Arabidopsis thaliana: one gene and its partners. The protein of the gene in region 1 interacts with the protein of each later gene in a pairwise test. Each region holds a gene or a part of one and is shown in the gene's direction. Other genes may lie near its edges.

Region 1 (3,753 bases):
TGGTAATAAGTGCGTGCCCTGGTATTCATGCTAAGATCCAAAATCGAAAGAAAAAAAGTGAGAACATAATCGGAGATATGGTGGAGGACTTTATTACCAGGAACATCAATGGCAGAAGCATGGTACTTGCGAAAGTCATCTCGTCCTTTAGCGGTACGAGAACCAATAGCCAATTCAAAGGTAGAGCCACGTGGATATCCACCGATGAAAGCCTCCGGGAACACCACTAGCTGAGATCCATTCTCCGCTGCCTCAGAAAGCAGTCTCTCTGCCTTATCTGACAAAATTTCGTGGATAAGGCATCGAAAGCGATCTCACCAACCATAGTGAATCAAAAATCGAGAAAACAGGAACGAACCTAGCGTGGCGGGAGTATCGTAGAAGACTGTAGAGGCTTGGACGACTGTAGCTCGTACGATGGAGGAGGAATCGCCGGCGGACATGTCAATCTCAGGGAAGATTTGATGGCCGTTGGTCTGTGGAGCCGCCGTCATGTGAGACGTTTCTTGTTGCATGGACATGAGAGAATCAGAGAAAGAGAGAGATTCCTTTTTTTTTTGTCAAAGAAGAAAGATTCCAATTGTGTTGTATCTTGTTTACTTGGTTGGTGTGTGTTTAACTTTGATATTATCGTGTATTTTATAAACTCTCTCTTTTTGTGTGTCGATTCTTTTTTAGTGAAGGGAAAAATGGGTTTAAAAAATCCTCATTTTCTCTAAAAACATTTACAATAACCATCACCTATATTGGTATTTATATGCATGCATATTGTACGATGGAGGAAGAATCGCAAGTGTATACGTCAACCACGGGAAAGATTTGATCGATGTTGACCGGAGGAGCCGCCGTGACTAGAGACATTTATTGGTGACTGGTCAGTTTGTCACCAATAAGATATATAGAGGAAATGAGTGATTCTAGTAGTAGTATCTTCTTGATGGGCTTGGTTGGTAGGTGTTTACTTGTACAACACATGATATATATTTTGATTTTTACTCTCTTTTTAACTGTAGGGGGAAATGCCAAAATGTGTAAAAAAATCCTCATTTTTTTCTAAAATCATCACCTATATTTATAGATTTTTTACAAAATTCAAAAGATAAAATACCCCCTCGATAACAAACCAACCTTAAAAACCAAACAAAGCGTTTGTTTATATATTTTGGTTGTTACTTGTTAGCATTCAATATTAATTATTGTTTACTTTTCGAAGGTATGAGGATTAGAAGATTAGATGTTTATCTCTTTTCTTAGTTTTAGACTTGATCTATATCCTTGGATGGTGTTATAAAAGGTATCGAACTCTTTCACGTATCATTAGCTTTTGACTAAAATATTGTTGAAGAGTTCTATTTTTTAGTTCAAAGGCCTATGAAAGGAGGATTTTTAATTCTAAAGAGTTTTGGTATGAAAAAACTCTTAAATCATATTATCGTTATCGATCATTGTTGATCTTGACAAAATATAAATTTGTTGCTGAAATAATTTGGAGAATTTCTTGTTATGATTGTTTATAGTTTCCGTTCATCATCAACTTTAAACTTTTAATTGTACGAGAAACTTTCAAAGTAATTTTTGGATTCACATCACCAAAAAAATTAACAGAACAGAGTTAACCACGTTAATATCACTTTAGTTTTTTTACAAATAATGATTTGAGTATAATTTGATCGTAATTTGTAACCCCATTTCATCATGGAAACAACAATAAAGTTCACTCATACATTTCGTTTTCCCTGTCGTACCTTGACACAGAAACATAGTCCACAGATTTTACTACTAATACTATTTCGAAGACGTACGAGGTTTTACGGAGGGAGATTTGCGAAAATTCACCTTTCTTGTTTAGCTTTTTTGAACATGAGTTTTTGATTAAACTTAACTATATGGAAAGTCTTGTGGAGCAGTTGAAATCCATCAAGAAGGATAAGTTTTCTTGTAATGATAAGTGGTTAACCCTTAAGCTTCAAATCAACAAAAACTTTGAGGTAACGCTTGTTGATTACGAGATCCTGAACAAGATATTTTGGGATATATAATTGTGAGCGATTGATCGATAGTAAGATTTCGGATATATATTGGGACTTTATCTGAAAACACTAAACAATAAGTCGTAAATTGGGAGTACGTAAAAACATTAAGGGTCTAAATGAAATAAAACCTATAATATAACTAGGTTTAGTGACGTGGCATGCACACGTAGATTAAGCAATGCCTTGGCAACACGTATGCAAAAACCCATATGTGTGCACCTGTGAAGTGTTCCAATAACAATTCAAAAGCTCCCTGAGCAAGTGAGAAGAGACCACACTGAGAAGAAAAATCCTTCAGGTTATCGAAAATTCCCGGATTTTACTCTTTGGGCGGTGGCCGATTTCTTACGCGCTCTTTTTGTGGCGACTGTTGTATACGCGCGAGCCTTCATGGACACGAAGGCGGTTGGAGTTTCTAAGGATACGGCGGCGTCGATGGAAGCGTCGACGGTGTTTCCTGGGTTTAAATTCTCGCCGACGGATGTGGAGTTGATTTCGTATTACCTGAAGCGGAAGATGGATGGCTTGGAGAGGTCCGTTGAGGTTATACCGGACCTTGAGATTTACAATTTCGAGCCTTGGGATTTACCCGGTTTGTCTTCGAATTCGAACCAATTGATTCTTTTGTGTCTTTCTTCTACTTGGAATTTGATTTTGTTGTTCTTCAGGCTTCAGGAGAGATCTCTATTTTGGGTGCCTAAGATATAAAGTTTCTATTTTTTGGCTCTTGGATTGGAATTGACAATTTTTTTTGTGTGTTTGTTCTTTGCAGATAAGTCGATTGTGAAATCTGATAGCGAGTGGTTCTTCTTCTGTGCGCGTGGGAAAAAGTATCCACATGGTTCACAGAACAGGAGAGCAACGAAGATGGGATACTGGAAAGCAACTGGGAAAGAGCGTGATGTGAAGTCTGGTTCTGAGGTCATTGGAACAAAGAGGACGCTTGTTTTCCATATTGGTCGTGCACCAAAAGGCGAAAGAACTGACTGGATTATGCACGAGTACTGCGTGAAAGGAGTATCTCTGGTAAAACTGTTCTCGAGAGTTTGTTTTTTCTTATAGATTAATTGTTAACCATTACATAAGAGGTGGTGACTTTGGCTACTTTTTGAGTCTCTAAGAGGAATACAGTAAAATTTTAGGAGTTTTGTCTTTGGCTTGAGTTGATTGATTATGTTTATGTAAATTCTAGGATGATGCTATGGTTGTTTGCCGGGTTAGGAGGAACAAAGAATACAATAGTGGTACAAGTCAGAAGGCACCAAAGCCAAATTCATCAGCCGAGAAGCATGCGAAAGTCCAAAATGGCGCTACGAGTTCAGGGAGCCCGTCTGATTGGGACAACTTGGTTGATTTTTACCTAGCAGGTGAATCAGGGGAGAAACTACTCGCTGAGATGGCAGAGTCATCAGAAAATCTACAGGTTTTGTCACCTGGCTTCTAATTGTTGTATGATGGTTCTTGATTGTTGTCGTTCTTCTTAATGAATGTTATGTGTGTGTGGTTTAGGTGGATAATGACGAGGATTTCTTTGCGGATATCCTAAGAGACGAAATCATCAATCTCGATGAAGCGGTGATGACAGGGAACACACCAAACGAAGTGCCAACACTAGAATCAGCATCAATGGAGATAAGGGTACTTCCTTTACCAAACATGATAGACAAACAAATGTCATCACTGTTAGAGGAAAGACCATCACAGAAGAAGAAAGGAAAAG
Region 2 (3,753 bases), about 13 Mb from region 1:
CTGAATGTGATTTTGTATGTAGGGAAGCATGTAATCAACTTGTTCATCCAGTACACTCCTTACAAGCCCTCAGATGGAAGCTGGGAAGATCCTACTTACCGAGTTAGTTTGTTATACACGCTTGGCTAAACATTCCTTTACACTACAAGACATGCCAAACCCATCTGGATTTGCTTTTGCTTGTGTAAAAATCAGGAAGCCTTTGCACAAAGGTGTTTCAAACTGATTGATGAATATGCACCCGGGTTTAGCTCATCCATCATTAGCTACGACATGTTGACTCCTCCGGACCTGGAACGGGAAATTGGTCTAACAGGTATATAAAGTGAAGTACTTGGAGAAAGATCCCAAGTACATGCGACATGGCCAAACCATATTGACATGACTGCCCATTTGTATTCTGCAGGCGGAAACATCTTTCACGGTGCCATGGGATTAGACTCTCTCTTCCTGATGCGCCCTGTGAAAGGATGGTACGTGACTCCGAAGTACTCAAAACAGTCTTTACGATTTATGATTATGAAATTCAAAACTTTGTTGGACTGTGTGAAACAGGTCAAATTACAGAAGCCCTTTGAAAGGTCTCTACTTGTGTGGCAGCGGAGCTCATCCTGGAGGCGGAGTTATGGGTGCACCTGGAAGAAACGCTGCACATGTTGTTCTTCAAGACTTGAAAAGAATCTAGCGAGTATAATCTCAGACTGTGCAATGTTAACTCTCATGTGTAAGTTGTTTGTTACTGCTCTGAAAACCTCTGTCGTAGGGAGAGGCTTACAGACATGGACAATAGTTGATATCAACGAATAATAAGCCTCCACGTGTAGCTTAACCTAAATATCACTAATTCAACAAATATGGAAAGTGCCCTAAACAACAGAAGAGCCATTGTTTATTTGTCTTTGTCTTTGTCTTTGCGAAAAGAAGTAAATATCCTCATCAATGGCGGATTCACGAGATGATCTAGCTGAATCGCTACAAAATCTATTCACGAGTGTTTCATCTATGGTCAAATCCGAGCTCCAGGTGAAAATCAATCCGAAATTTTACAGATTTATTTGTTTCCACAGATCTGAAATTGAATTGGATAAAAATAGGGAACGAACAACCATCTAGATCTATTGGAGAAGATGAACCTGAGAGTTGCGTCAGAGTACGATGATATGGGTGACGTGGCAGCTGGGCTCAGAGTTTTCGCAGAACAGATGAAATCAAAAAGTGGTGGCTTGGATGAATTTGTAGGACAAATGGATGCTATCGAGAAACAAGTGTCGGAGTTTGAAGCTGTGATCTCTGTTCTAGATCGATATGTCTCTGTCCTAGAATCTAAAATCCGAGCTGAGTATCGTCATCCTCATCATCAGCGTCGCTCTAATGATTCTGTTGTTACAGACTGATGCATTGTAGCAATAATTAATTTTTATCATTACTGAGATTGTTGGAATCGAGATCTGGAATGCTATTTTGGTTTTAGTTGATATTGAAGCTAGATACGAATACGACGAATGATTTTGTCTACATTCGGTTTAAGTTTAACCAAAACTGAAATTTGCATAAATCAATCTGGAACCAAACCAAACGAAAAGCACCTAAGTTTTTTTTTTACCGCTACTCCATATATAACCATTTACCGTACTTACTAATGCATTGGTTAAGTGTTTTGTTAAACATATTAAAACCTCCTAAGCAAACAAAACCAAACCGAATTAATTTCAGTTTGAATGTAATAGCGATGGTTTTATAAAACCAAAACTTGGAACAAACTGAACTGCTCATCTTTAGTAGTAAGTAACGAATTTTCATAATCACAAATTGTGATGTATAATCATGTTATCCGTTTCAATATCAAGAAATTTAACTAGCATAGTTGGAGAGTGTTGTTAATTTTGATTAGTAGTGGACAATCCGGTTTAAGGTTTGGTTCCGGTTCGATTTTACGGTTTATATATTACTTGTTTTCTCTGTGTTTTTCTTTTGTCTAAAAACACTCTAAAGAACTTAAAGATATTCGTCTGATTGTTCTCTCTCAAATTGGCTCATCCTCTCCATTCAATTCATCCCAAGTACCAAAGCAAGCTACTTCGATCTTCCTCTTACTACTCTCGTTTCTAATTGTAAGTCTATATCAATTCCTTTTCCAAAGTTTGTGTAGATCTCAAAGTAGTAGATCGGAAGAGATCGATAAAACCAGATCGATTAATCATAGTTGCTCCCACTCTCGACTACTTAAGAGATAATCATAAAGTCTTAACCTTTAGGAATCGAAATTTATTGTGATGCTTAGATAGCGAAACCCAGTTATAGAATCATTGAATCAATTAGAAACCCCTAATTTTCCTGTGGAAATTTGCTTAAAATCAATACTTTTTTGGGTTTGTAATCTATACACTTACTCTATGATGTCCAAGTTCTTCCTTTTTTGTTACTGTAATGTAAAATCCAATACAAAGATTTGAAATTTATGTTGTTTCAGATTGTTGTTATCTTAAATGGGTTCATCTGAGAAGAGATCAAAGGATATCATGAGTGACATACCAACTTTCAGTGCAGAGAATTTGCAGAACAATTTGAAAGTCATTCAAAACAGGTCTGATTCAATACAATTCTCTCTCTTTCGTTTTCTTAAAAAGATGATGGTTCTCGGGTTTTTTGACTTGTTATCCCTCATTTTGTTCGTGTTTGCAGCCGGACGTTTCTGTCTATCATAGCTGGTGTCTTAGCAGGAATAATTGGATTCAATGGCTTGATTGGTTTTGTATTTTACTTTGTGGTGATGTTGATCACATCTGTTGGGCTCATGGCTAAGGCAGGATTCTCAGCTGACTTGTACTTTGATTCGTGGAATCGGGTTCTTTTTGACGGTTTTCTTGGTGGCCTTATGGTATATCTTCATTTCCTTTTCTTATTACATTGTTTGTTGCTTCAAGATACATGTTGTTGATCCAACCTGTTAATCTCATACTAATCGCGGTGTTGTTTTCTTTTTCGCAGTCGTTTGTGCTGTTCTGGACGTATCCTTAAACTCAATTTGGTGGTCATACTCATTTTATGATAATGTGCAAAACTAAATCAAAGGTTGATTAGCTTTATGGAAAAACATCTATGGTATGGTGTAGGTAAAAATGATTAGCTTCTTAAGAACCTGTGATTAACATAGAAATGGCCTTTTTGTTTACTTCGTGTAGAATCAAGTATATGCGCAACTCGAAAACAGCTCTCTCTATTCTCTGTTTGTCTCAGTAGGTTTCCTTAACAATGGAGTAGATTTGCGTATGACTTGGTGCACATATTCTGAGGGAACTTCTGCTCCAGATGAGGATGGTGAAACGGCACACAAGATTGAGTTCGGGTTTTGCAGCCTCTTCATCTAAACTGAATTAGATTGACAATGTTTCTCTTGTTCCCTTTTTGAACAACAGTTTATGAGTTCGTATTACCTTTTTTTGTTATTTGAGATCACATCAAACTGTGAAAACCTTTAGATTGAAAAGTTTCAAGTATTTACACTTTCTTCCAATTTCATGTGTTCACATTGTTGTTTTCTTTTTTTTTTACATTCTTGCATGTAAAATATATTCGAATATGCTTAAGATTTCAATAGAGAACATTAGAACACTCTCTGTCAAGTTTGAACTTAGCCGTCTATGTGTATTGTATAGTTCTTTTGTTGCTTCTTATGTTTATTTTCCTGTGTTGGTGTGGCTTGTCTTACCAACTCTAGTTGAGTAATAGAAAAAAGGTTGTTTGATTTCAAAA
Region 3 (3,753 bases), on another chromosome or scaffold:
GTATCGGTCTCAAACGTAACAATCCCTCGAGACATGAAAAAATCACCTGTCCCTCCGACAACAGACAAATCTCTACTCTGCACCATCATGAGATCTGCTCCCATTATGTTCAACGTCCCTTTGTGTTGAGTCGAGTTGAACACAAGTGTGTACGCGAACCATGCATTGTAGTCATTCTTCATGTCGTAGAAATAGAACCCTTGAGCTCTTGCCACAGGTTCGGACTGAAAGTTTTTGTCTATGGTCATAGGATCGTCGAAGATAACGAGTTTCCCGAATTTGAAATTCCCGAGGCCCGGTGGGTTGGTAACTGCTGCAGAAGTCGCGTTTTGCACGTCGTCGACACCGAACATTATGTCGTGGTAGTAGAGGACAAAGTTTTTGCACGGTTTTGGTTGCGATTTGGATGGTTTTCTAGCTGATATGACGGTTTTTGTTAGAACAAGGAAAACGAATAAGAAGAGAAACGATTTCATTTGGCCTACCATATTGAAAATATGTGTGTTTTAAATGAAAATGTGAGAGTGGATAATGAGAGAGTGAGATTGACAAAGAAGGAGTGATGGGTTTATATACAACTTGGGTTACTAGTCCGTGTTAATATTAAGTATAAACAAAGTGGACTAGCTCACTTCTTCTCTCTTGTTTCTTGTTTATATATTTATTTATATTAGGTTGGTGATAAGTTTTGTTGATGTGTATAAAGTGAGATCATTTACCATGAATATCTGAAAGTTTTCCATGTAGGCGGCTCAATCACCTTTCAAAACTTTCCACAAAATGTTATAGTAGTGGAGAAATCGTTAAAAATAACACGAATGAAGTACTAAAACAAATTAGTATATATAATACATATTTGATTTAAGACTACATAAGCTTAAAGCTTGTACATACCTTAAGCTGGAGTTGCACGAATTCATCAATAATATCTAAAACAGCACAAATTCAAAAGCAGAAGAGATATTAAATCGGTTAAATATGCAATTCATGGCTTTAAATCATATATATTGAATCAATGAATAATCTACTTGTTCGTCTAAATTTAGGACATTAATAATATATATATGTATAGTCTTTCAGAACTACTAATATATGTAATTTGGCCTTTTAATGATGGGTTGGTGGAGCACTAATAATAAAAACTAAAGAGCATGAGGAGTTTTTCCAATAACTTATAATTTTACATGAATTTATGTCAAACTGCCACTGACCATTAGCATGATGCTAAAAAGTATCGTTATAGATTTTATTTTATTTTATTATATATAAATCATATCATTTTTTTCTATAACTAAAAGTAGAGTCATCTATTTTATTGGTAAAAGTCACGTTGAAAATTTTAATTTTAGTTTGTTAAGTACCCTATGGCTAATATAATTTGCATACCAAACATGTTTTTTTCTTAATGATAATCTAGTCCATTTGTAAAAGTAACCGTTTTATCATCAATTTTTTTTTAATTAAGCTAAGCTTTCGCCGACTTAATAGAACATTGGCATTCGGCAGCCAATAAAGCAAATCAAGTTGCAGAATTTCAAATGTGACATAACTATTCACATTTTAAAAAATAATATCGTGAAACAAAAGAAAAGCAGAACAATAGTAAACAAAAAGACAAATTGTTGAATGTTGACAAACTGTGAAGATGATAACAAACGAAGGAAAAGAAAAATACTAAAATAGTTTGTCCTAAAAAGCCTTATCTGCGAAGGCATTTTAACGAAAACGGGCCTATTGTTGGCCCAATATGATATATAGGCTCGAAACTCGTCACGTGTATTCAACAGTTGCTTGAGTTTTTCCCACACGTGCGCTGTTACTACGTGGACGCGCGCGAATAACTCTAGTTTTGTGGATTTTTTTCACTATCTTCTCAGAACAACACAGAGCCAAAGGTTTTTTGCTCGCAGTAAAGAAGAATCACACTGTGAAGAAGAAGAAGAAGCGAAATACAAAATCCTCAGGAAAGAAATGCTAAGTTTGAATCTCTCGGAGTCGCTTCGCATTCCATTCCAGAACCCTAGGCCTCCCAAATCCGATTTTTCTTCTACTTCTTCTTCTCCTTCCTCATCGTCGAGGAGATGCGTCTCCGCTTATCCAATTCCGATCGGGTTTTCGGTTCGTAATCAATACTTTTCTAGGTAAATTTGATAATTGATTGTTCATCGGCTTTTGAATTTGCTATGCGAATGGAATGTAGCCATGTAGGAGTTTACGTCTTTTCACAATTCTGTGCAGATGTTTGACTCAATTGCGTCGAAATGAATCTCAGCAGCTAGGTTTTCGATGCTTCCAACGAAACGATGCGGCTTGTTACCTCGAGGTGATTCTGATTTTTGTTACCTTCCACCAATCTTCTTTTGGTAGATTTTTGAATTTTTTTAGATGAGATTCTGTTAAGGCCTAGAGGAGATTTCTGAATTGCTTGTTCTGTGTGGATTTACCTAAAATGGTAATGTAGGTTTATTATAATGATGATTGATTTTAAGGTTGAACAATAGTGGAGAGAATGTGTTTAAATGCATAAGCTGAATAAGTTGTTGTGTTTGCTTTGTTCAGAAAGCTGAGTCTGAAGAGCATGATAGAAATCTTGATGTTCTGGTTGAGTCATCGATAGCTCACTCAAGAAGAGAGATTCAGAGAGTTCTTATGTTCTTGGCGGTATCAGGTTCGGTTGCATTACTAGGCACTGATCCAGCTTTTGCAGCTTCGTCAATTCCCAATGTGACACAGTCACTTGTCACTTCTTTTGGAGACCTTGGAGATATTAGCTCAGGTTTTGCTTCGGTTAGAGAATCTTCCTTTTGCACAGAACCGGGAACTATCTCTTCTTCAATTCCAGTACTCTTAAATTTTATTTTTTGCTCTGTCTATGTCTGTGTAGGCTTTCTTGCTTATCTTTTTCTCTGAACTTGGAGACAAGACTTTCTTCATTGCGGTATGATCTTGAGATGTTAATCTACGCTTTAGAAACTCTCTTTGTCATCAATGATTCTGTTGATTGTGATAAGTTTTCATGTTTGTTGGTTAGGCCCTTTTAGCAGCAAGGAACTCTGCTGCTACCGTATTCGTGGGGACTTTTGGCGCTCTAGGGTATGCTTTCTTTCTCAAACAGAGGCGTTATTATGGTCCGTGAATCTTGTCTGAAACCAAATGTTACTTTGAAATCTGTAGAGCAACGTTATAAAACTTGGTAATTTTGCAGGATAATGACGATAATATCTGTAGTGCTTGGACGCACTTTCCACTATGTCGATGAAGTTCTTCCATTCAGGTTTGAGTATTCTGGCAAAAATTATTAAGCAGGTTTAAGTTCCATGATGATGCTGAACGTCAATGCTTGAGAACACAGGTTTGGTGGAACCGATTTGCCTATAGATGATATTGCAGCAGTTTGTCTTCTGGTAAATCTCTTTATTCACCTTTCTTAGCAGAGTCGTACTAACCACGGGTGCTTGGTTTGGACCTTTCTTATGTCTAGCAAGTATATCTTCCTAAGTATATGATGTCTACCAAGTGAAACCAAATGTAGCTGTAACCCTTTTGTTATGAGTTTTGTTTTGGTTTTGGTTCAGTTTTCGATTCGAAGGGTCTTAAAATTGTCATGAAGTTTATAAGTTTCAGGCTCTATTGGGTTTGGATTTTTATGTAGAAAAAGTTACTGGTCTAACAATGAAGATGTTGATTGGTTTTCAAGCCTGGTTTATGGTTCATTTTGGGTTGGATCATATTGTACAGAGCATAGTCTTAACC

What was found.
Region 2: the proteins of NAC089 (region 1) and AT5G49540 interact in a two-hybrid assay, tested with the Arabidopsis thaliana proteins (one large-scale study listed by BioGRID).
Region 3: the proteins of NAC089 (region 1) and AT1G64150 interact in a two-hybrid assay, tested with the Arabidopsis thaliana proteins (one large-scale study listed by BioGRID).

What each region holds. Positions count from the first base shown.
Region 1 is NC_003076.8:7,376,169-7,379,921, reverse strand, and holds the start of NAC089 (NAC domain containing protein 89), read left to right. Parts: upstream 1-2,145; 5' UTR 2,146-2,423; coding exon 2,424-2,625; exon of another isoform or gene 2,626-2,805; coding exon 2,806-3,059; intron 3,060-3,225; coding exon 3,226-3,456; intron 3,457-3,542; coding exon 3,543-3,753. Other genes in the region: NIT4 (nitrilase 4), read right to left, coding at 98-277, 359-521. UniProt on the Arabidopsis thaliana protein: Transcription factor involved in plant cell division.
Region 2 is NC_003076.8:20,104,343-20,108,095, reverse strand, and holds AT5G49540 (Rab5-interacting family protein), read left to right. Parts: upstream 1-1,817; 5' UTR 1,818-2,111; intron 2,112-2,470; 5' UTR 2,471-2,486; coding exon 2,487-2,584; intron 2,585-2,682; coding exon 2,683-2,878; intron 2,879-2,988; coding exon 2,989-3,008; coding exon of another isoform or gene 3,009-3,018; exon of another isoform or gene 3,019-3,261; coding exon 3,262-3,292; 3' UTR 3,293-3,615; downstream 3,616-3,753. Other genes in the region: AT5G49555 (FAD/NAD(P)-binding oxidoreductase family protein), read left to right, coding at 23-102, 196-316, 407-473, 556-685; BLOS2 (biogenesis of lysosome organelles complex 1 subunit-like protein), read left to right, coding at 940-1,023, 1,095-1,394.
Region 3 is NC_003070.9:23,810,798-23,814,550, reverse strand, and holds the start of AT1G64150 (Uncharacterized protein family (UPF0016)), read left to right. Parts: upstream 1-1,825; 5' UTR 1,826-1,971; coding exon 1,972-2,141; intron 2,142-2,238; coding exon 2,239-2,323; intron 2,324-2,559; coding exon 2,560-2,787; intron 2,788-2,884; coding exon 2,885-2,938; intron 2,939-3,031; coding exon 3,032-3,093; intron 3,094-3,205; coding exon 3,206-3,274; intron 3,275-3,352; coding exon 3,353-3,404; intron 3,405-3,753. Other genes in the region: DIR5 (Disease resistance-responsive (dirigent-like protein) family protein), read right to left, coding at 1-488. UniProt on the Arabidopsis thaliana protein: Mn(2+)/H(+) exchanger, which transport Mn(2+)from the chloroplast stroma into the acidic thylakoid lumen. Might be a chloroplast-localized Ca(2+)/H(+) antiporter. Regulates Ca(2+), Mn(2+) and pH homeostasis. Required for chloroplast development.